2 linked regions of the Nothobranchius furzeri genome follow. Each later gene encodes a partner of the first gene's protein in a complex. Links are inferred from orthologs where the notes say so. Each region holds a gene or a part of one and is shown on either strand. Other genes may lie near its edges.

Region 1 (10,833 bases):
GCGATGCTGTGTACTTTATTGAGCGATGACATGAATTGTCTAATTTGACATGCATCCGACTTTTCTCAGCCCATTCTAAACATCGGGGTTCCTATGCAGCCACAGTCGGTTCAGCAGGCAGCGGCCTCCCAAAGCTCCGGAGCCAAAGCATCTCTCCCGTCCACCTGGTCGGATCACACCGTGAACATCAGCCTGGACTTTCTGGTCCCAGGCGTGCAGCCTCCCAAGCCCAGCCAGCCGAGCCTCAACACCCTCCAGCAAGGTGGGCCTGCAGGGTTTCTGGTGGTCGGGTATCTTTCACTTTAACCTGTTAACTCATTTGTTTGGATTTCCAGGCCATCCGGTGCCTGCCAACATGCTCTCCCAGGGATTTTCCAGTATGAATCTTGGACCTACCAACATCAGACCACCTGCGAATGCGATGATGCATCCTGCTGCTGGAATGGGCATGGCTCCTAACCAGGCCATGATGGGGATGGGCATGAACATGGGGATGCCACAAGGGGGTATGACCATGGGAATGCCTGGTGCCATGGGGATGGGAATGGGGATGAACCCTGGAATGGTCCAGCAGCCCAAACATGACGCCTTTGCTGACTTTGGCAACTTTGGAAAATGATGAAACAGAAAATGTAATCAGAAGTGGTGGCAGCCTCTCGCCGTCCATAGTTGATGGATCATCATGAGCTCCAAACAAAGAGTACTTGAATAACATCCACGATGGTCTCACCAACACCCTGCAACCTCCCTGTTGTTTTAAATGATGTAGTCATGTGGATTTAAATGAATGTGTGTTGACTGAACCAATGATGCGTGTGCTGTGGAAGGGTGGCTGGACGTACTCTGGTGTTTGCCGGGCTGGGGCGGGGAGAAGAAAGTGCCACCGAGGGAAACTAAACGGGGATTTGCTTTATAACCTCAATCAAGGTAACTTCTACAGGTAGCTGGATAATTGCTGTTGAGAATACATACATCTGTATAACACCATCATCCATTTTAACTAGCTAGTGCACGCTGAAGATTCATTTACGTCTCTATGTCCCCCCCCCCCCATCTTTCTCTGACATGTAAATAGACATTCTGAGCCCTTGTAATACGTTGTGAGGTTCCTGTGAGAGGCAGCAGAAGTGTTTTACTACACAGACCAAACTGATGAGTCCAGATCTAAGAGCATGCTGTTCCATCTCATTCTCTTTGTGCACGAGTGTGAACTGTCCAGGTGCAGCGCTGACGCGGCACACGGAGCGGTTATCTGCTGTCAAACTGGTTGATTCATGCAAGGAATTCCTCCTTCAGCTAAACGAATCGTGGGCCTTTCTTTTTTAGGATATATCTATATTTTATGGAGATGATTATAGTCGGCGTGCATCCTAGTGAGATCAGTTAAAGCTCATACAGGGATCACGTTACAGCAGAGTGCCTAAAATCTCTCACTGACCTGAAGGCAGCTCAGGTCCGTCGTAGCCGTGTGTGCTGCCTGCAGACATCACATGCATGTGACTGTGCTGTTTATCCCAAGCACCTGTTTTCTTCCCGAGCGGTTCAAGCCCGTGGCGACACCTCAGGTTTGATCTGTGACTGTTATAAAGTTCACACGTGTTCAATGTTGCATCTTCTCTGTGCCTTCCATCCTCACTGGTGCTGCACACTTGTATGGTTGTCACAGCAACCATCAGTGCAGAACACCGTTACCATCTGGGTGGTGCTGGCTGGATGAAGATGTACTGATGGTTGTTGGCCCGTGATGACTGGAGCCCTCCTCAGCTGCGCTCCAGAGGTTTGTGGTTCAAGTGCCTGCTGACGACTGCTTCCCACCCCTTCTAATGAGTGATTGATAATCAGAACTGAATCGTAGCGGCCTGACATTTTTTTGTACGTTTGAGATGAATAACTGACGAGAGGAGGACTGGACTTCCCTCAGGGCTGCAGGCTGAGCACAGCAACACATAGCAGCCTTGCATTGATGTCTGAAGCATTGAAATGACCAAAATCTCTTTGCTGTTTCTTCTTCTTCTAATGTATATCAGTAGAAATGTTTTTTTACTTTAAATCATTCTGCTCCTTTTTTAAAACCAACGGGATTGTTACTGAACACTAGCGTAAGGAACCCCTTTAGAACCTTCTTTACGTTCTTCCCGCTCTGATTTGATTTCCACAACCAGACTCCTCGTGGACAGCATTAAACAGTTGATTTAAACGTGTTAATGATGTGTGTTATTTGGTGTGCTGTGTCATTAGCCTCATTCAGAACTGCTTCCAGCAGCAAAACCGATGCGCTTGGCTCTGAAATTGCATTTTACTTAATGTGACTTTAACTTTGTTGCTTGGTGGGAATAAAGCCAAGTGCATCGGGAGACTTATTCCCAAGCAGGCTACAGCACAGGTAGCCTAAACGACCAATGAGAGCAACGCAAAGTGTGTTTAAATAGCACCGCTTGAGCCTGACGGCCACACGATATCCACACTCCTGTAATTCATCAACAATTAAAATCCACCGTTAGAAGGTTGTCCTCGTTTATTTTTCTGGTGCAACATGGAGGACACAAGACGATGTGATTCTGGGTCATCTCTACCATCAGCGCCGTGGCCCTTTATTAGACGGAGATTTGTTTGAGCGCACTTGTGTGACAAACACGACTAAAACGCAGCTTGCATTAAACACTTGACCCCGTTTCCTCTCTCTGGAGAGGACAGTTAAATTGGCTACACTAATAATATTCTAATATACGAGCGGTGTGTACAGTAAATGAGCTAAAGTTCAACTCGTGATAAAACGCGCTCCACTTGTGACTTAAACTATATGGAAAAGAGGGTCAGTGATGTCTCCGGTCCAGAACCAGAACCGGAGCAGAGCAGCAGACGAGTGACAATCACTCCGTGCCACTTATAAGCACCCTCCTTCAGGAGAGAAACATTTTACAACTTCCATGAGATGCAGTAAATTGTGCTTTTATGGGTAATGTGCCCATTAAAGAGTAAAAAGCAATCTGAGACGTAAAGACAAATGACAGCGTTTGAGTGCCATCTGCAATCTGCAGCTTCACTAACTCCATTATTCATAATGCATTTATGAAGCCCGCCGAGACCGCGCTGTCGTCCCTGCTCAGACTAACGGGAAGAGCAACTTAAAGGGACAAGGAGCTCTTCCAGATGACAGTAGCTGCACAGCTGGACGGGCGTGTTTATGCTGCCACCTGCTGGCCAACAAGCAGAACACACTGGGAAGAATCTACAAACAGACCAGACTAGAAGTTTTATTCCTCAATAAATGAGATCATTCCTTTGGTGCACCATATCAATATGATATAACAGGCCCATCTCAATCTGGACATTGGTGAAGAGTCAAGCGTTTGTGTTTAATCCAGCAGGATTTTCAGTCAGAGGGGCTGCGGGTTGACCAGGATGACATTCTCACCGCGGATAAACAGCTGGCTGATGTGGCGTGTGCGCACCGTCCCGCACTTCTGATGGCTCTTCTGTGAGACATCATCTTTATCCTGTTTGCTCTTCGCCGTGCGGGACTGCTCGGACTCAGGCGTCCCGTCCCCTCTCGCACCAGCAGGCTGAGCAGGGCGGCTCTTCGGAGCAGCTTGGGGATTTGCAGGTTGAGGCTTGTTGGTTTCCTCTCTTGTTTCTTGCTTCTTGGCGGCCTCGTTGGCTCCCGAGTCCCGCTGCAGGCTCAGCTTCTCAAAGAGCTGCACAAAGATTATGTTAACGATGAAGAGTAGGACCTAAAAGACCAAAAGTACTACGGTGCTTTCATAAGATCACATCCTGAAGCCACTCGGACTCAGAAGGAAACGGTTTCTTAGCTCCAAAGCATTTGTTGGTGTGTTTCATGTAGGGATGCACCGATACGATGCCAATACCTGTATCGGTAAAAGTTAACCGATACCAGGAACCGATACCAATGCAGTTGCTTGAAAATGGCTTCACTGTAACTTGTCATTTCTGTTCACCTAATGTTTTAGTTTTGTGATGATTTCCATTCATATATTTTACTTTTTATCTACCTCACAGTCTTTTCCTGTGCAGAGAGGAAAATAAAATCTGTATTCCAAATCATTGCATTTTTTTGTAAGGTAGAAGTATCGGTATTGGTAATCGGTATCGGCGAGTACTCAGATCCAAGTATCGGTATCGTATCGATTTGGAAAAAAGTGGTATTGTTGCATCCCTAGTTTCATGCACATTCAGTCATGTTTGTTTTGAAGCCAAGGCCTTTATGTTGCACCTCTTAGCCAGGCTCATCGGTGTTTCAGCTCCTGCTTCAGCTTTAAAACCATGTTTCTGGTATTTCATGGATTCATTTAGAGCTGCAGCTGTTCGGGCGCTGAGGACCGACGCTGGTGAATTATCAGTTTTCTTACCGAGCGCCACAAACTAAACACTTTTTAATGATGTGACTATAACCCTTCTTCACAAAGGGACAGACTACTGCTGGAATGAACCAGTGCTTAGCGAGGGTCCCTTCCTGAACCATAAAACACACAATTGGATTTTTGAGTTGCAGAGCGGCCAATCACCAACTCACCCAGGTGTGCCCGTGTGGGTAGGCGCGTTGTGCCTGTAAACTACTGCTGCGTGGTTTCAGTCGCGTTTCTACTCATCATCTAACAGTGCAGCTATAAATCATACGGACACTAGAAGAGGCACAGATCTGACGGAGGACTTTTTAAACTTGGGTCAGACCCAAACGGTGCCGACACTGGGAGGTAACACCTGACAACCCAAGGCGTATTCCGACTCGGTGTTCCAGGGGGAAAGGATCAGGAAGACGGACTCCATGACTGGAGGACATCTGGGGCGATCCGAGCTCAGGACCTGATGTCTGAGCGGTGAACAGGTGAGCAGAACGTCCTTATAAGGGCTGCATAAATGTACCCAACATTTTTCTGGTGGACGATATGTCACGTGTCATTTCTTAACACGTCGGTCCGATAAATAGAACCGGGTCGACATAAACAACCAATATTTTTTCCATTTGGTTATCTGTTTCAGGGGGGGGGTTGTATTCGTTTGGTCATGTGACAGTGATGTAATCGTCTCAGAATCATAAATATGCGGTGTGTGTACACAATAATGTAAATTAAGCTTCAGTCATCTTCATTCTATACAGAATTTGCTGATTTTAGAAGCATTAATGTCAGCTTACCGGTATCAGCAAATATCGCTTATGCACTGAAACGGTGATATTAATATCACCGGTATTGGCCCAAAGATTTCATATCAGTGCATCACTCATTTTTATCTCCAGATTTTTACCAAAATGCCTAATTTAGACTCGTTTCCAGGCGTGTACACCAGGGCTGAACGACTTAGGGAAATTATCTATTTCCGATTTAATTCATTATTCCTTCCTCAAGTTGTTTTTCTCTCATTTTTCAACTAAAGCAAGCAAAAAATAAATCAATGTATTATAAACCATATCAGATTTATTATGCATAAATTATTGTTATGCAGCTCGGTCACCTGAGAGTTTGTTTACTGGTAGCTGAAGCGCTGGCAGCTGGTGGTGTGATGTTTGTTTAGGTAAAGGTCTGTGGCGTCACCTCACCGGGTAGCAACAGTAGCAAGGCAGGTTCTGCACAACACGCAGCATCTTCTTCTTTTATGTAACCAAAACATTTCTACACAACCCATGTGCTAAGCCTCTGTGGTTCTGATCTTTGTGCAGCGCTGGATTCTGAAGAGCCTGAGGTCATTCAGGTTAAAGCGCAACGTTCCCTGTTCCCTTCTCCCCGTCCTGTTTGAGGCGCTCACAAGTCCCGTCTTTCCCAGATTAGAAAATCTCATTCTGTCACATTATAATTCAATATGCAAATACTGTAAAACTTCTGCAAGTAGATTTTCAGCTATACATGAAACAACGAAAGAGAGAACTGGTACGTACTCGTGAAATTGTGAGTGCCTTCTCGTGGTACACGGCCTCTCCAAGCAGAGGTTCCCTGTACGTCTCGTCTACATCCACCATCGCCTGCCAACAACAAGCAGCATCCAGCGATGAATGACTAACATGGAAACAGCACAAAGACTGGAGTGGGACCGCTCACCATGTTCCAGAACTTGTCGAAGGCCACAACAAAGCCTGAGCACACTCCCCGAAGTCCTTTAAAGGTCCTGATGTGAACTTTGACCCTTATCCTTTCCTCCACGCAGCGGTACAGCTCTCCCAGAGGACTGCCCTTACACACTGAAGATACATGACAAGCAGGTTATGCAGCTGCACCTAGCCCAGCTCGTCAATCATGCAGCTGAAGCACACGCAGATTTCTGTAGGACAGGGTGAAGGCACGCTTACAAAACTAGAGAGTATAGATATAAATGATAGAAATACCGACATATTTCTGCTTTTATTGTGAAAATTGGCCCGTATATAACTACGAGTGTGACTGTGTTTTGACCTACATCGGGGTAATTTAAACAGGATAGCTCGTTAACTGGCTGGTATAGAGGTGGTGCTGCGTTATCTGACATGCCTTTAAATGAACCTACGGGGCATCCGTGTCAGGACATTCTTCTGGGGCTTCTGCCTCCTCTTCTTCCGGCTCTGGCCGCCACTGCCCCCCTCCTCCGGGTCCGACACCGGGTTGTTCACCATCAGCATCTTCAGCCTTTCGATCCGCTCCGGGTCCGCCACCCCTTTCATCGCCTTTCGCTGCCTCTTCTCCACGTTCTCCGGTTTGGCTCGGCCCCGGCCACCCTTCAGAAAACTCTCGTACTCTGCCACATTGTTGAAGCACTTGATGTTTGGGAAGGGAAGAGGTGCCGCGGACGGAGAGTACAAGGCCTGCAGCGGGTCAAACTTTTCAGAACAAACGTTTGTTTTTTCTGCGGCGTCGTCCTCGTCGTTAGCGCCGGCCGCGGGCTTGGGCTCTGCTGCGGACACCCTGCTGTCTGACTTCTTCTGTTCGCTTTCCTCCATGTTTGAAACGACCAAAGAGCGGGTCGTGGGGAAGCGAGGAATCCTGGGAAAGTTGTTGCCGGTGTTGTGCCTAAAAAGGTGTGCCATCCGACGAAATCGCCCTTCGTTCAGTTTTACGTCTTTTATCGCAAACTAGTGTTTACAAAAAATATGTAATCACAGCCACACAAACTACACGGTATAACCATATCAGTCTCCAAATGAGTGTTCTATATCATTTTGTTGTGGGAACAACGCCGGACATGTTTAACAGCTGCACAACTTATGACGAACAAAGTCATTCAAAAATTTAAATATATGCAATATAAATATAAAGAGTTAACTTTTTAAAATGTTGCGTTTGTAACATTTCAAGTAAATTTACAAAACACTTTTTCCCTTTCAGCCACTTTATTAACAGCTAAGGTGCTTGAGGTCAGGGGGACTTTATTTCAACACAACACCTATCAACACTAATTGTATTTATTCATTAGAAAACACAGCCCTCCTAAAAATGTAATGTGTTGTATTTACATTTATTTTCTGTAATATTTTGACATTATTTTCCAAGCTTTATATGTCCATTTTAAACATTTACGGGTAAATGCTAACTTTTAAACACTGGATGGCGCTAAAGTACAACAATCCCGGAAAGGATCTTTGCGAGAATTTCTTTAGGATTCCACATTAATATACATTAATTAACAAAATATCAACCAATTGTAATTTATTAACATTTTATAATGAGAACTAAGGAGAACTTTTTAGTTTTGCTTAAAAAAGGAAAAACAAAATGCCCGGAACCAATGTGACGGTTGAGGAACTACGACGAAGTTAATGAACGGACTGTACACAAACCAACGTGAGTAAAATAAAAGGTTTTTACGTAACTTTATGATATTATTTCTTTAAAACAGCATTTCTGTAACAAAATAAACAATAACCAACGCGTTTTAAATGCTAACTTGATACTGTTCATGAATAAATACAAGCTAGCTCTTTCAATGTAGCAGAATATTCATTCTAATCAACCCCGTTTCGGTTGTATTTTATTGCCTTGTGTCACTGTGTGTGCCTGATGTTTTCTAGTTCTCGGGAGCTCCTTAATGCTGACCAGAAGACTATCCGGACTTGGTGCAGGGGGTAGGACCTGGTTTGTCTCATCCATTTCTCGTTCTTTCGCCCGATCCAGCATCATGGCTAAGAGCAAGTTTGAGTACGTCCGCAGCTTTGAAACGGATGACACCTGTCTGCGGAACTGCTACATCGTTGTCAGACTGGACGGACGCAACTTCCACAGGTGAGCTTTCTCTTCATCCCAGAGACGTGACGGTAGGAGTCAGTACTCTGTGTTGACCCTTTCCCTGTATTTTAATGTGGTTCAGGTTTTCAGAGCAGCACGCGTTTACTAAGCCCAATGATGACAGGGCTCTGGGGCTGATGACCAGGAGTGCTCGCTCTGTCATGGAGGAACTGGAGGACATCGTCATTGCTTATGGTCAAAGTGATGAGTTCAGCTTTGTTTTCAAAAGGAGCTCCACCTGGTTCAAGAGGAGAGCCAGGTACTCCTGTTGAATTGTCATTTTGGGTCAACGGGGAAAAACTGGGATCTGAGAGGACAGGCAAGGGAAACGGACAAGCACGGAAGAGTTGGACAACCCAACCAGCTATCAGAATGATCAGAGGAGAGAGGGTGTGTGACTCACAGACGGAAACTAGAAGCTGGATCCACAAGAGCCTGAAAACAGGAATCTTTGTCTCTGTTGTACCGTTTGAAGCTCTAGGAGCCACATGTAAACCTGCTGTCTGAGACTGGTTCCTGGTGGAGCTTGGTCTTTTAGAGCTTAATGAGTTTCCCAGGAAGCCATTCGAGTGTTGCTAAAACTGAAGAAATAAGATCTCTCCTCCCAACGCTGACCTGAACTCTGGCAGAAACTTTGTGGATGTTTTTTTCTTCCATTCCATGTGAAGAAGTGCAATAATGAGGCCTATTAATGATGTGCCTGTCCCACGTTTGTTGGTTTGGATCTGATCAGCCTATTGTTGCTTTCTTAGAAACATAGAAGGGACTTACTTATTTTTTCTCTTGTTTTTCTTGCAGCAAGCTCATGACCCATGTGGCCTCCCAGTTCTCCTCATCATATGTGTTTTACTGGAAGGAGTTTTTCGGAGAACAGCCCCTCTTGTGTCCCCCGAGCTTTGATGGGCGTGTGGTCCTGTATCCTAGCAACCGTAACCTTAGAGACTATCTTTGCTGGAGGCAAGCGGATTGTAAGGAAACGTGATGTCCTGAATTCTGCTTGGATGTTACAAACGGGTGATCTAAACTCGTTCTGTATGTTTTAGGTCACATCAATAACTTATACAACACGGTGTTTTGGGCGTTGATTCAAAAGGGAGGACTCACTACCGCCCAGGCAGATGATCGCTTAAAGGTGAGAGCACTCAAGTATTAAACTAATGTCTTCCCTTCTTTTTCCCCGTTGTCTTCTTCTTGTTTAAAGTTTATTGTCCTCTAACTTGGGACATTAAATAAAATCCATCACTCAACAAAACATAAGGAATACATGTTCTACATTCCTCTGATCTGTAGTATGCGGTGCAGCCATAGTCAGTAGGATATTCAGTCTCGGCTACAAAAGTGCAGCTTAATAGTCAGCTTGGTCATTTTGTTAGAAAGTGACCAAACTTTACTATTTAATAAGTTTTCGTGAACACTTTAACCTTCTTTCAGGCAGATTGTCTTTACTTCCTGTGAATTTAAATAGAAGGGGATTTTATTCTCATCTGAATGATAGATGCAGCTGCACAAGGAGGAGGTATTTGTGTCCGCTGCCAGAGCAGCTGTTCTCCTGGCAGGACAGCAGCAGAGGGAATGTTTATCCTGGCTGCATGTTCGGACATCTCCAGTCATTAGTGGTTCAGGAAACTCTCCAAACCGTCCTGGAGGGAATAAAACTCTCCACGACCAGTTGGTGGCGCTGTTCTGATGGTGATCTGTTTGGAGAAATGAGTGATGTAGTGAAGCTTTAACCTGAACTCTTTTCGGGCCTTTTGTGGTCACCAAGGTGATACCTTCCACTTACATTGGCTTCTGTTTTGTTTTTAGGGAACGTTGGCGTCGGATAAAAACGAGATCCTGTTCTCAGAGTTTGACATCAACTATAACAACGAATCAGCTGTTCACCGGAAAGGAACCAGCCTCGTTTGGGAAAAGGTGAGATGCTGCAGAACGATACAGAACAGTCAGGGGAGGGGAAATCAGGGCTTATTGAGATTCAATCAGATGGATTTTTTTTTTTTACAAAATTACAAAATTGATCCTTTTTATTTTATTTTAACAGATTATTGTTGAGTGAAGAAGTTAAAAAGGATATTTTGAAGCATTCAGGTCCTTCTCAAAAAATCTTCATATTGTGATAAAGTTCATTATTGTCTGTAATGTACTGATAACCATTAGACTTTCATATATATTAGATTCATTACACACTGCTGAAGTAGTTCAAGCCTTTTATTGTTTCTAATATTGATGATTTTGGCATACAGCTCATGAAAACCCAAAATTCCTATCTCAAAAAATTAGCATATCATGAAAAGGTTCTCTAAACGAGCTATTAGCCTAATCATCTGAATCAACTAATTAACTCTAAACACCAGCAAAAGATTCCTGAGGCTTTTAAAAACTCCCAGCCTGGTTCATTACTCAAAACTTCAATCATGGGTAAGACTGCTGACCTGACTACTGTCCAGAAGGCCATCATTGACACCCTCAAGCAAGAGGGTAAGACACAGAAAGAAATTTCTGAATGAATAGGCTGTTCCCAGAGTGCTGTATCAAGGCACCTCAGTGGGAAGGAAAAAGTGTGGCAGAAAACGCTGCAAAACCAGAAGAGGTGACCGGATCCTGAGGAAGATTGTGGAGAAGGACC
Region 2 (10,845 bases), on another chromosome or scaffold:
TCGCCCACCTGAGAAATAAAGGTGTTTATCACGTGGAACGCTCTGGATCAGGTCCGAGTAGCAACGCTCAGGTGGACTACGACAATAGAAACACTGTCTGGGAACAATGTTGTCAACATAGCTTCTGCTTCAGGGAGAATTCTGTCAGCTGGGAGCTCACCATGGCCCAGGAGCCCTGATACATGATGTTCTCCTCATGCACGTGTGGAGTTAGCATGTTCTCCTCCAGCGCGTTCTCCTCATGCACGTGTGGAGTTAGCATGTTCTCCTCCAGCGCGTTCTCCTCATGCACGTGTGCAGTTAGCGTGTTCTCCTCCAACGTGTTCTCCTCATGCACGTGTGGAGTTAGCATGTTCTCCTCCAGCGCGTTCTCCTCATGCATGTGTGGAGTTAGCGTGTTCTCCTCATGCACGTGTGGAGTTGGCATGTTCTCCTTATGCACGTGTGGAGTTAGCATGTTCTCCTCCAGCGCGTTCTCCTCATGCACGTGTGGAGTTAGCATGTTCTCCTCCAGCGCATTCTCCTCATGCACGTGTGCAGTTAGCGTGTTCTCCTCCAACGTGTTCTCCTCATGCACGTGTGGAGTTAGCATGTTCTCCTCCAGCGCGTTCTCCTCATGCATGTGTGGAGTTAGCGTGTTCTCCTCATGCACGTGTGGAGTTGGCATGTTCTCCTTATGCACGTGTAGAGTTAGCATGTTCTCCTCCAACGTGTTATCCTCATGCACGTGTGGAGTTAGCATGTTCTCCTCCAGCGCGTTCTCCTCATGCACGTGTGCAGTTAGCGTGTTCTCCTCCAGCGTGTTCTCCTCATGCACGTGTGGAGTTAGCGTGTTCTCCTCATGCACGTGTGGAGTTGGCATGTTCTCCTCATGCACGTGTGGAGTTAGCATGTTCTCCTCCAGCGTGTTCTCCTCATGCACGTGTGGAGTTAGCATGTTCTCCTCATGCACGTGTGGAGTTAGCATGTTCTCCTCATACACGTGTGGAGTTAGCATGTTCTCCTCCAGCATGTTCTCCTTATGCACGTGTGGAGTTAGCATGTTCTCCTCATGCATGTGTGGAGTTGGCATGTTCTCCTCATGCACGTGTGGAGTTAGCGTGTTCTCCTCCAGCGCGTTCTCCTCATGCACGTGTGGAGTTAGCATGTTCTCCTCCAGCGCGTTCTCCTCATGCACGTGTGGAGTTAGCGTGTTCTCCTCATGCACGTGTGGAGTTAGCATGTTCTCCTCATACACGTGTGGAGTTAGCATGTTCTCCTTCAGCGTGTTCTCCTCATGCACGTGTGGAGTTAGCATGTTCTCCTCATGCATGTGTGGAGTTGGCATGTTCTCCTCATGCACGTGTGGAGTTAGCGTGTTCTCCTCCAGCGCATTCTCCTCATGCACGTGTGGAGTTAGCGTGTTCTCCAGCGCATTCTCCTCATGCACGTGTGGAGTTAGCGTGTTCTCCTCCAGCGCGTTCTCCTCATGCACGTGTGGAGTTAGCGTGTTCTCCTCCAGCACGTTCTCCTCATGCACGTGTGCAGTTAGCGTGTTCTCCTCCAGCGCGTTCTCCTCATGCACGTGTGCAGTTAGAGTGTTCTCCTCCAGCACGTTCTCCTCATGCACGTGTGGAGTTAGCGTGTTCTCCTCATGCACGTGTGCAGTTAGCGCGTTCTCCTCATGCACGTGTGCAGTTAGCGTGTTCTCCTCCAGCACGTTCTCCTCATGCACGTGTGGAGTTAGCATGTTCTCCTCATGCACGTGTGCATTTAGCGTGTTCTCCTCATGCACGTGTGGAGTTAGCATGTTCTCCTCCAGCGCGTTCTCCTCATGCACGTGTGGAGTTGGCATGTTCTCCTCATGCACGTGTGGAGTTAGCGTGTTCTCCTCTAGCATGTGTGGAGTTAGCGTGTTATCCTCTAGCATGTGTGGAGTTAGCATGTTCTCCTCCAGCGCGTTATCCTCATGCACGTGTGGAGTTGGCATGTTCTCCTCCAGCGCGTTCTCCTCATGCACGTGTGGAGTTAGCATGTTCTCCTCCAGCGTGTTTTCCTCATGCACGTGTGGAGTTGGCATGTTCTCCTCCAGCGCGTTCTCCTCATGCACGTGTGGAGTTGGCATGTTCTCCTCCAGCGTGTTCTCCTCATGCACGTGTGGAGTTAGCATGTTCTCCTTATGCACGTGTGGAGTTAGCGTGTTCTCCTCTAGCATGTGTGGAGTTAGCGTGTTATCCTCTGGCATGTGTGGAGTTAGCATGTTCTCCTCCAGTGCGTTCTCCTCGTGCACGTGTGGAGTTGGCATGTTCTCCTCCAGCGTGTTCTCCTCATGCATGTGTGAAGTTGGCATGTTCTCCTCTAGCATGTGTGGAGTTAGCGTGTTCTCCTCATGCACGTGTGGAGTTGGCATGTTCTCCTCTAGCATGTGTGGAGTTAGCGTGTTCTCCTCCAGAGTGTTCTCCTCATGCACGTGTGGAGTTAGCGTGTTCTCCTCTAGCATGTGTGGAGTTAGCATGTTCTCCTTCAGCATGTGTGGAGTTAGCGTGTTCTCCTTCAGCATGTATGGAGTTAGCGTGTTCTCCTCCAGAGTGTTCTCCTCATGCACGTGTGGAGTTAGCGTGTTCTCCTCTAGCATGTGTGGAGTTAGCATGTTCTCCTTCAGCATGTGTGGAGTTAGCGTGTTCTCCTCTAGCATGTGTGGAGTTAGCATGTTCTCCTTCAGCATGTGTGGAGTTAGCGTGTTCTCCTCTAGCATGTGTGGAGTTAGCGTGTGCTCCTTCAGCATGTATGGAGTTAGCGTGTTCTCCTCCAGAGTGTTCTCCTCATGCACGTGTGGAGTTAGCGTGTTCTCCTCTAGCATGTGTTGAGTTAGCGTGTTCTCCTCTAGCATGTGTGGAGTTAGCATGTTCTCCTTCAGCATGTGTGGAGTGAGCAAAAACATGCATGTCAGGTTAACTGGAGACTAAAGCCTAACTTTTACGTCTCCATCTGCGTCGGGATGGATGCACACAGAGCCATTATCCATCCTTGCGAGGTCTCTCCAGCAGGCTCACCAGGACGGACGGAGTCGAGCTCTCTTTTCTAAACATCCCTCTGTCGACATGGAGAATGCAAGCTTGTGATTGGTCAGGACGCCGCTGTCATCTACAGCACCGCCATTGAGCCCTCAAAAACATAAAGAGAGCCGAGGATATCTAGCGGCAGACATGGAGCAGCTTCAAGAATACCTCGCTGAAAACAACAAATATTAACGTCTGATTCCCCGTGACTGGAGGAGTTAAATGATGTGCAGCAAGCTTTTATTTGTGGACGGAAATGTGGGTTTAGAGGTGGTGAGCGCATGAAGAGGTGGAGGAGAATGAGGGACAAAGTCTCTAAAATACAAAAAAAAAAAAAACATTAACACAATAGTAAACACACTACCTTGGACCGGATACATGACAGGATACCACAGAACAGCACTACGCCCTCTGGTGTCCTGGCAGGGAATTGCTTTGCAACACTCCCCAGGAGACGGAGACATATGAGGGCAAAATGTCTCCGTCCGTGCGTGTCTGTCCCTGGTGGAGCTGATGGAGACGTATAAATTAGGCTTAAGCTGGCTCTGTGTGTCCCAGTGAGGGACAAGAGATCTGTCCAGTGTCGTCTTTTTCCTGAAGAAAGCTGAAGATAAACACCAGCTCCCTGAGAAAAATGGCAGGTCTCCATGTCAAGCTTTCCTTAATTCTCGATATTAATCATTTGTTATTTAAAGAACATTTCCACCTGTTAAATTTGGCTTAAATCTGTATGTTCAGGGACTTTTCATTCATTCCTCCCTGAAGCTTGTTTTTGCTTCAACATTTGTCTGATTCAGGACGAGGAGACGACCTCCACGCTTGCTCAGATTGCTGGACAGTTCACAGACAAAGAAGCAATTCCTGGAGATGAAAGCAGCAGCACTGGAGCCGACCTGCTGGCCATGATGGATGACCTCTGACTGAATACCATGATTACAGCATCAGACTGACTGTCTGACGTCAACAAAATAAGGACAATATTTATAACTTCCTATGATGTTCAAGCTCACGTTTCTCTATACAGCACTGGTACATCCCCAAGATGCTGTAGCAAAGGCACAAGCAATAAAACAGCTATCATAACAAAACATTTCATTAGGATACATGCAACAAACAAAATCAGCTAAGATAGAAGCCTATCTTACAGAAATGACCACAATGTCTGAGTCTGACATAAAGGCCAGATCAAAATGCTCCAAGCTGGGACCGGTCCTTATACGAAGGGAAGGCTGCTCTATAATCTAGTCCGTGGAATCAGAAACGTCCACTTTGTGTCTGTTTACCTGAAAATTCCCAAGAGTTCAGCTCTAAATGTCTGGTAAATTAATACATAAAGGTATTGTTGTCTGGTTTTAACATGATTTACAATGATGCTCTGTCGTTGGGTGGCAATGGCAGAGGAGGTAAGTGGCTGCCTTGTAACAGGAGGGTTGCAGGTTTGAGGCCTGCTCATTGTGTAGCAGTCATCTGCTTGAGCAAGGCACACTCCCTGGCCTGTGAAGCCAGGTGAGGCTACCCCATTGGTTCTGGCTCACCCTGGCTACAGTCGCACACGATCAGAAGTAAAGTCGTCTACGCTGGTAAAAACAAATAAAGTTATCATATTCAAAAGCAGTCGTGTTCACGTTGTTTTTTTAACGTTGGCTTTCCTGATGACTGAACATGTTTAACATATTTTATTATGAATGAAAACTCGTCTTAGAGTTTTCAGAACCGGATCCGGAAGTTACGTCACTAAATGGAATGCGTACGTAAGCGGAAGCCAGCGCGGAGCGGCAGCAGTTCGGTGAGTTCAGACAGTTGTTGTTTGGTGAAAGTTTGAATCTCCCCGGATGTGTCGAGTTTATTTTAACGGGACCCTCGTTATCAGCACCGCTGTCGTTAGAATGCTGACCGCGGCGGGTAAAAACTGCTTTAGCTAAACTTTAGCTTCACACACTGAGCACGCGCCAACCCCAAAACTTAAGTCTCGCGAGATTCCTGTTAAAGACACGAGATCTGGTAGGATCCAAATCTGGTCCCGTCTCGAGGTTCAAGTTTGAAGCTTATGCTCTTTTTAGCGGAAAAGCCGGAAAAAGATCCGGTTGTTAGTGAAAGTGTTAGCCTCAGGTGCTAGCAGGTGCTACAGCTCGGTTCTGGTTCCGTGAGACCACCAGAGGGACAGGTCCTGGTTCAGGTCTCTGATAGAACAGGATCAGCTAACAGGACTGAACCCGGCCAGAGAAAGTCCTTCATAATCATACGGGTCAAAGGCGAGGTCTGGCTCGGTTCTGTTGGGATGAACGGACCCGTTTCAGTCAACTTCCTTCTGGTTTCAGGTCAGGAGAACCGGGTCTGAGCAGCCCGGGTTTCTGGCACCAGAACCTGTGGAGAGGACATGGAGTCTGAAGCAGCTGGAGCTCCAGCCTCGGGTGAAGTGGTTAACTCGATTCGTGAGCGGACCATCTCCGAGAACAGCTTGGTGGTTCTGCTGCAGGGTCTCCAGGGCCGGGTGACCACGGTGGACCTGAGGGACGAGTCCACGGCCCAGGGACGTGTGCTCAGTGTGGATGCCTTCATGAACGTCCGTCTGAAGGACGTGCTGTACCAGGACCGGCGGGGACGGCGCCGCCAGCTGCAGGACCTGTTCATCACCGGCAGGAACGTGCGTTACGTGCACATCCCAGATGACGTGGACATGATGAAGACCATCCAGAACCAGCTGGACAAGATCCACAGAGTCCGGAGCTTCGGCAGCGAAGGCAGGAAGGAGTTCTCCAAGAAGTCGAACTGATCGGACCGGTACCGCTTCGGCACAGGAGTGGGCGATCTTTGTCGGTACATCGTGACGCTCGCGCGGTAACGGTAAACACCCGATGTCATCGCTCCTCGGTCAAAAGGAGGACTGTTGCATGGCAACAAGACTGACGTCTGAGTAACGTTCAAAACTAAAAACACAAAACTTCAGAAGTAATTCATGTTCGGATTCTTTTTCCAGACGAAGCAACGCTAAAATGATCCCGAAGGAAGATATTTTAGTAAAAAACAAACATTTTTCATGTTATTCGCTCAGAAAGGTCCTGAGCTGAGCTCCGATCAGCTGATGGGCGGTTCTGACCCACTGCGGTACACGAGAGACTCTTCTGTCTCTGGTACCAGCAGCCTGTCTGAGGCCCAGTCTGACCAGAACTTTAGTCGTGGTCCTGGTTCTGGGTTGATGCAGATGGGACTTCCAGCGCCGGGTCGGGATGCTTGTTCTGAGCTCCCTGCAGTTCCAGGAGCCGCGGGTCTCCAGCCCGTCTCTGATTGGTGGAGGGCCAGACCATGTTTGGGAGTAGCTGCGTTCCTCTGGAACACGAAGGCTGCTGGGAATTTTTATTCCAGCAGGAGGATGGATACGAACCAGGAAAACCACTTGGATCCGATTCAGCCTGAGTCAGAACCTGACCACATCATTACCACAGGTCCAGGTCTAGAGAGACCAGAACCTGCAGCGTAACAGAGTCAGCTGTGAGATGGAGACACCCCCCCCCCCCCCCCCCCCCAGACATTCCTGCTCATCTCGGCTGCAGCCGCCCAGTTGTTTCCTGCTCCGCCCACCAGAACTCTCCAGAACCCTGCGGGCTGAGCAGTGGACCTGGGTCAGAGCCAGATGGTCCTTTCTGGAGTTCCCAGGCAGGATTCGGTTCTGTGGAGCCACTGGAGGGATGAGTGGCCAGAGACGAGGAGCGCCGATTAAACCTTCATCAGAACCGAGGTGAGTCAGGAGAAAGGTTCTGGTCCAAAGAGCCTTTTGTGAGCTTCAGCAGCATGATAACAGCACGTACCTTGGTGGTTCTGCTGGATCAAAACTCCATTCTGCAGAACTCAGGAGGAATGTGGATCCTCTTAGGTTCAGAACCAGTTTGGGTCTAAATCTGGTCAGAATCAGAACTGGGACTAAACACCACTCTGTTGGTTCTGTTGCTGCCCTGACCCAACAGATCCGGTTGTACTGGCTGTGCAGCACCAGGCTAAAGTTCAGAGGTGCTGCTGTGGTCCCCAGACTCTGGAGCTCTCCCCCCGAGCCTGAGACCAGTGGACTCAGTGGTCTCCTTTAAACTCAGCTGTTGGGGTTTGGTGGGACCTCCCTCTCCTGGTTCTGCTCTTGCTCCACCTTTCCCAGATCCCCCGGTGTCCCTCTCCTTTCATTTTCTCTCCCTTTACTTACATTTTATATCGATTTTTTTTTTCTTATTTTAAACTTTTTTAAAATCTTTTTATCTTTAATTTTTTTGTTTTTGTGAAGCGCCGTATTTTTATCTGGGGTTGCCATAGAAACGGTCCTTTTCTTTCTGGATTGCTCCTCTTCAGCCAACGAGGCCAAAGTCAGATTCTGATGATCACAGAGAAATCAATCAGACTAGAGCAAATGATCACAGAGCAATCAGAGTAGGGCAAGCCACAGATATATTTATTTAGAGCTCTGTTGGCCGCTCAGGTGCAGGAAATGCGGTCGCCATCTTAGATGGGTGGAGCTTGTGGCAGACACGAACCATAGCAGCAGCAGTGACCGCGTGCTTGAGCTCTGTGGGATTATTCCCGCTCTAATCGGCAGACTCTGGAGACCAGAGCTCGGGATTACTCTTAACGAGTAAGTTTGAGCCTGTTTGTTGTTTGTATTTAGTAACTCTAACTTTGCTGTTGTGTGTTTGTGTGCACCAGCAGCACCTCCTAGCCCGCTAACGCTAACTGCTGACAGTGAAGCTAAATGAGACGTTATTCATCATTTATTCCTAAACACCCACTTGTATTACAGCTGAAACAAGAACGCTGCTGTAGAACCCAAACAGAACTTCCTGTAGCAGATACATCCCAGTTCTCTGGCTGGACAGTTAGCTAACATGCTAACAAGCTGAAGAGTCGTTTTCTGGTTCCACCCTTGGGAGAGTTTTGGTTGATTATCATCAGAAATGCAGTTTTAGGTTAAAGACAGATTGTAAGAATATTTAAGGCATAAGTAAACCGAAGAGCAGGAACAACACGAGAAACTAGCGTTGACCTCTTGTACAACATGTAGACGCTAATCTGCTAATCTCATGTTGTGTTTTGTAGCTTTCCACAAAAGGTGTGAGGCTTCCTGCAGCTGGTCAGAGCTGGGCTGTCAGAGATCCTGCTTCTCCTTCAGAGAGTAAGCCATCAGCATCCGTACACGCACACATCCTGCTATCGGTCACGAGGCACAGTGCAATACTTTCCCCACACACCTCGTCCTGAACTCATTTCTCACCCACTCATGTATTTCAGTCACCGCAGTGAGGATCATACCTGGGTGTCCCAGAGTTTTCACCGCAGCAGGGGCCACTGATGTCAGCTGAGAGCCACAGGTGTGTACTATAACCACTAATATAAACATGATGTGCTTGTTTCAACCAGAGACCCTAACCTCAGCTGATGATGTGAGTATTTAACCATCATGTCATGACCCCCCCCACACACACACACACACACACACACACCTGTCTCCTGTAAGCTGATACTGCAGCGCCCACTATTGTAATTTGATGACAGCCGACAAAAATGTCCGGCGTTGTTTACAGTACCCACAGGATGTCGTGTTCACTTCTTTTCTACATAATGCACCTTTAATGATAAATAACCCGCACTTATACAGCGCCTCTCAGAGTCAGGACTCCAGAGCGCTTTACACTACAGTGTATCATTCACCCATTCACACACACACATTCACACACTGGTGGGGATGAGCTACCATGTAGCCACAGCTGCCCTGGGGCGCACTGACGGAGGCGAGGCTGCCGAGCACAGGCGCCACCGGTCCCTCCGACCACCACCAGCAGGCAACGTGCGTTAAGTGTCTTGCCCAAGGACACAACAGCAGACTTCTCTGTCCGGAGCCGGGATCGAACCTGCAACCTTCCGATTACTGGACAACCCGCTCCACCTGCTGAGCTGCTGCTGCCCCAATTAAATGTGTTTCTATTGTTTCACAGGAGGCTGTGGCTGGTGAGCCCGGCCTAAGAGGACCAGACTAAACACAGAGGTGCAGCACTGATGCTGACGCCACGGCCGTCAGACGTGATGTTTGTTACGTTGGTGGTTCTGGAGAGATGATCGCACCTCTAACTGCAGAAGAGGAGCTCCAGATAAAAGTTCTGCATCAGTCCTCTTTCAGGGGTTTCAGCTCACGGAACGCTTCAGTTAGGGTTAAAAACAGATGAATGAAAACAAAACAACTAAAACGAGCTCTCTCTCTCCCCGCGTCCTGTCCTGCTGTAAAGCAGCCAGAGCTGATGTCTGGGTACCAAGAACAGTCCGACTCTCAGGTAGAGAGTAGTCCACCTGGTATTAGAGATGCTTTTGGTGGTTTGTAATCCCAACGGGGATGGAAGAGATGGGGAGAGTTCACGAGAAGGAAAGGATGAAGAAGAAGCTTCTAGGTCTGCAGAAAGGGACACACACACACCGAACCAGAACATCACCAGCTGTTCTTGTCATCCAGACGTTGTTCTAGTGGTTCTCTCACCCTCTCTCTGAATTATATTGACACTATATGTATGTGGCTGCTTCTCAAAGCACGTCTTCATAAACTCGATTATTCATCACTCAGCACCCCGTTTGGTCACTGGTGCCCCTTTCACTACTCATCATGTGATCTGTACTCACTCGTTAACTGGCCTTCGCTCCATTCCTGCAGGATGTTACACTGGTTGTGGTTAGGGTTACCCTAACCCGTCATATCTTCTCTCATCATCATCACTTCCAACAACCAGCACCGTTTACGTTCCAGTAACCTCATCTCTACGGTTACTCCCAAAGCTGGCACCTCCTTTGGCCGCTCCTCATTCCAGTTTGCTGCTTCCAACGACTGGAATGAGCTGCAGAACCACTGAAGCTCCCTACCTACATTCCATTATCTACCCTCAATAATTCGTGGTGATCAATAGTTTGTGATCAGTGTTCTTCTGAGTACTAAAGACTGTTTCAGTCCGTTCTGACTGCTCGTACGTGTTCTACATGAGAACGTTGTCTTCATGTCTGTTAATCTGGTTCATCTCACCTGTTCTTTGGTGTAAAGCTAACCACGCCTCTGGGCCAGACCCTCGTGGGAAAGGAGTCCTCTCATCTGGATAAATAAAGACATAAATATGAACCATAGAACATTTGTTTCAGCTGTCTATGAGAATGATTTAGTATAAATTTATTAACATGGCTGATCCAAGATGGTGGCGCCACCGCTCGTCAGCGTTCATCGGCAGCAGCGGTCACGTGGGCTTTATCGATGTGTGAGGCGACCAATCGGAGCGGTGTGAGCTGAGCCAGAAGGAGAAGCTCTACGTTCCTACCCTCACCTATGGTCATGAGCTTTGGGAAGGGACAGAGAACGAGATCGCGGCGACAGGGTGAGAACCTCGATCACCCAGGAGGGGCTCAGAGTAGACCCGCTGCTCCTCCACGTCGAGAGGAGCCAGTTGAGGTGGCTCAGACATCTGGTCAGGATGCCTCCTGTTTAGGAAACATCAGGCCTGATGTTCTGCAGCTCCATTAGGACCTCATGTTCTGTCAGAACCAGACTTTTATTCTTACAGTTAAATCGATTACCTGACATGTTTAGTAGCTCTAGCTGTCATCAGAGATCGCCGGTGTTGGTGACATCACTTCCTCTGACACAGGACGGCGTATCCTTGCTGATGACACTGTCCCATCGCCTCTGTTCATGGTTCTGTGTCTATGACCCGGGTACTGACCCAGTCCATGATGTGGCTATTCCTCTAACCCTTTCTGCTGATGTCCTGTTGTCTGCATGGTATCGATGTGACTCGCCGTCATT

The links. The genes of interacting proteins can lie anywhere in the genome.
Region 2: lsm11 (region 1) and lsm10 share a complex: the UniProt entries of both Homo sapiens proteins name them as parts of the heptameric ring U7 snRNP complex. The link is inferred for Nothobranchius furzeri from reciprocal best matches to the Homo sapiens genes LSM11 and LSM10.

What each region holds. Positions count from the first base shown.
Region 1 is NC_091742.1:46,326,212-46,337,044, reverse strand, and holds lsm11 (U7 snRNA-associated Sm-like protein LSm11), read right to left. Parts: upstream 7,200-10,833; 5' UTR 7,013-7,199; coding exon 6,496-7,012; intron 6,194-6,495; coding exon 6,054-6,193; intron 5,978-6,053; coding exon 5,894-5,977; intron 3,696-5,893; coding exon 3,378-3,695; 3' UTR 3,241-3,377; downstream 1-3,240. Other genes in the region: clint1a (clathrin interactor 1a), read left to right, coding at 70-262, 336-619; thg1l (probable tRNA(His) guanylyltransferase), read left to right, coding at 7,742-7,766, 7,994-8,204, 8,290-8,466, 9,006-9,175, 9,251-9,339, 10,014-10,121. UniProt on the Homo sapiens protein: Component of the U7 snRNP complex that is involved in the histone 3'-end pre-mRNA processing. Increases U7 snRNA levels but not histone 3'-end pre-mRNA processing activity, when overexpressed. Required for cell cycle progression from G1 to S phases.
Region 2 is NC_091759.1:27,044,674-27,055,518, forward strand, and holds lsm10 (U7 snRNA-associated Sm-like protein LSm10), read left to right. Parts: upstream 1-4,759; 5' UTR 4,760-4,824; intron 4,825-5,281; exon of another isoform or gene 5,282-5,356; 5' UTR 5,357-5,415; coding exon 5,416-5,811; 3' UTR 5,812-5,882; intron 5,883-6,637; exon of another isoform or gene 6,638-6,774; intron 6,775-8,111; 3' UTR 8,112-8,187; downstream 8,188-10,845. Other genes in the region: protein OSCP1, read left to right, coding at 3,836-3,958. UniProt on the Homo sapiens protein: Appears to function in the U7 snRNP complex that is involved in histone 3'-end processing. Increases U7 snRNA levels but not histone 3'-end pre-mRNA processing activity, when overexpressed. Required for cell cycle progression from G1 to S phases.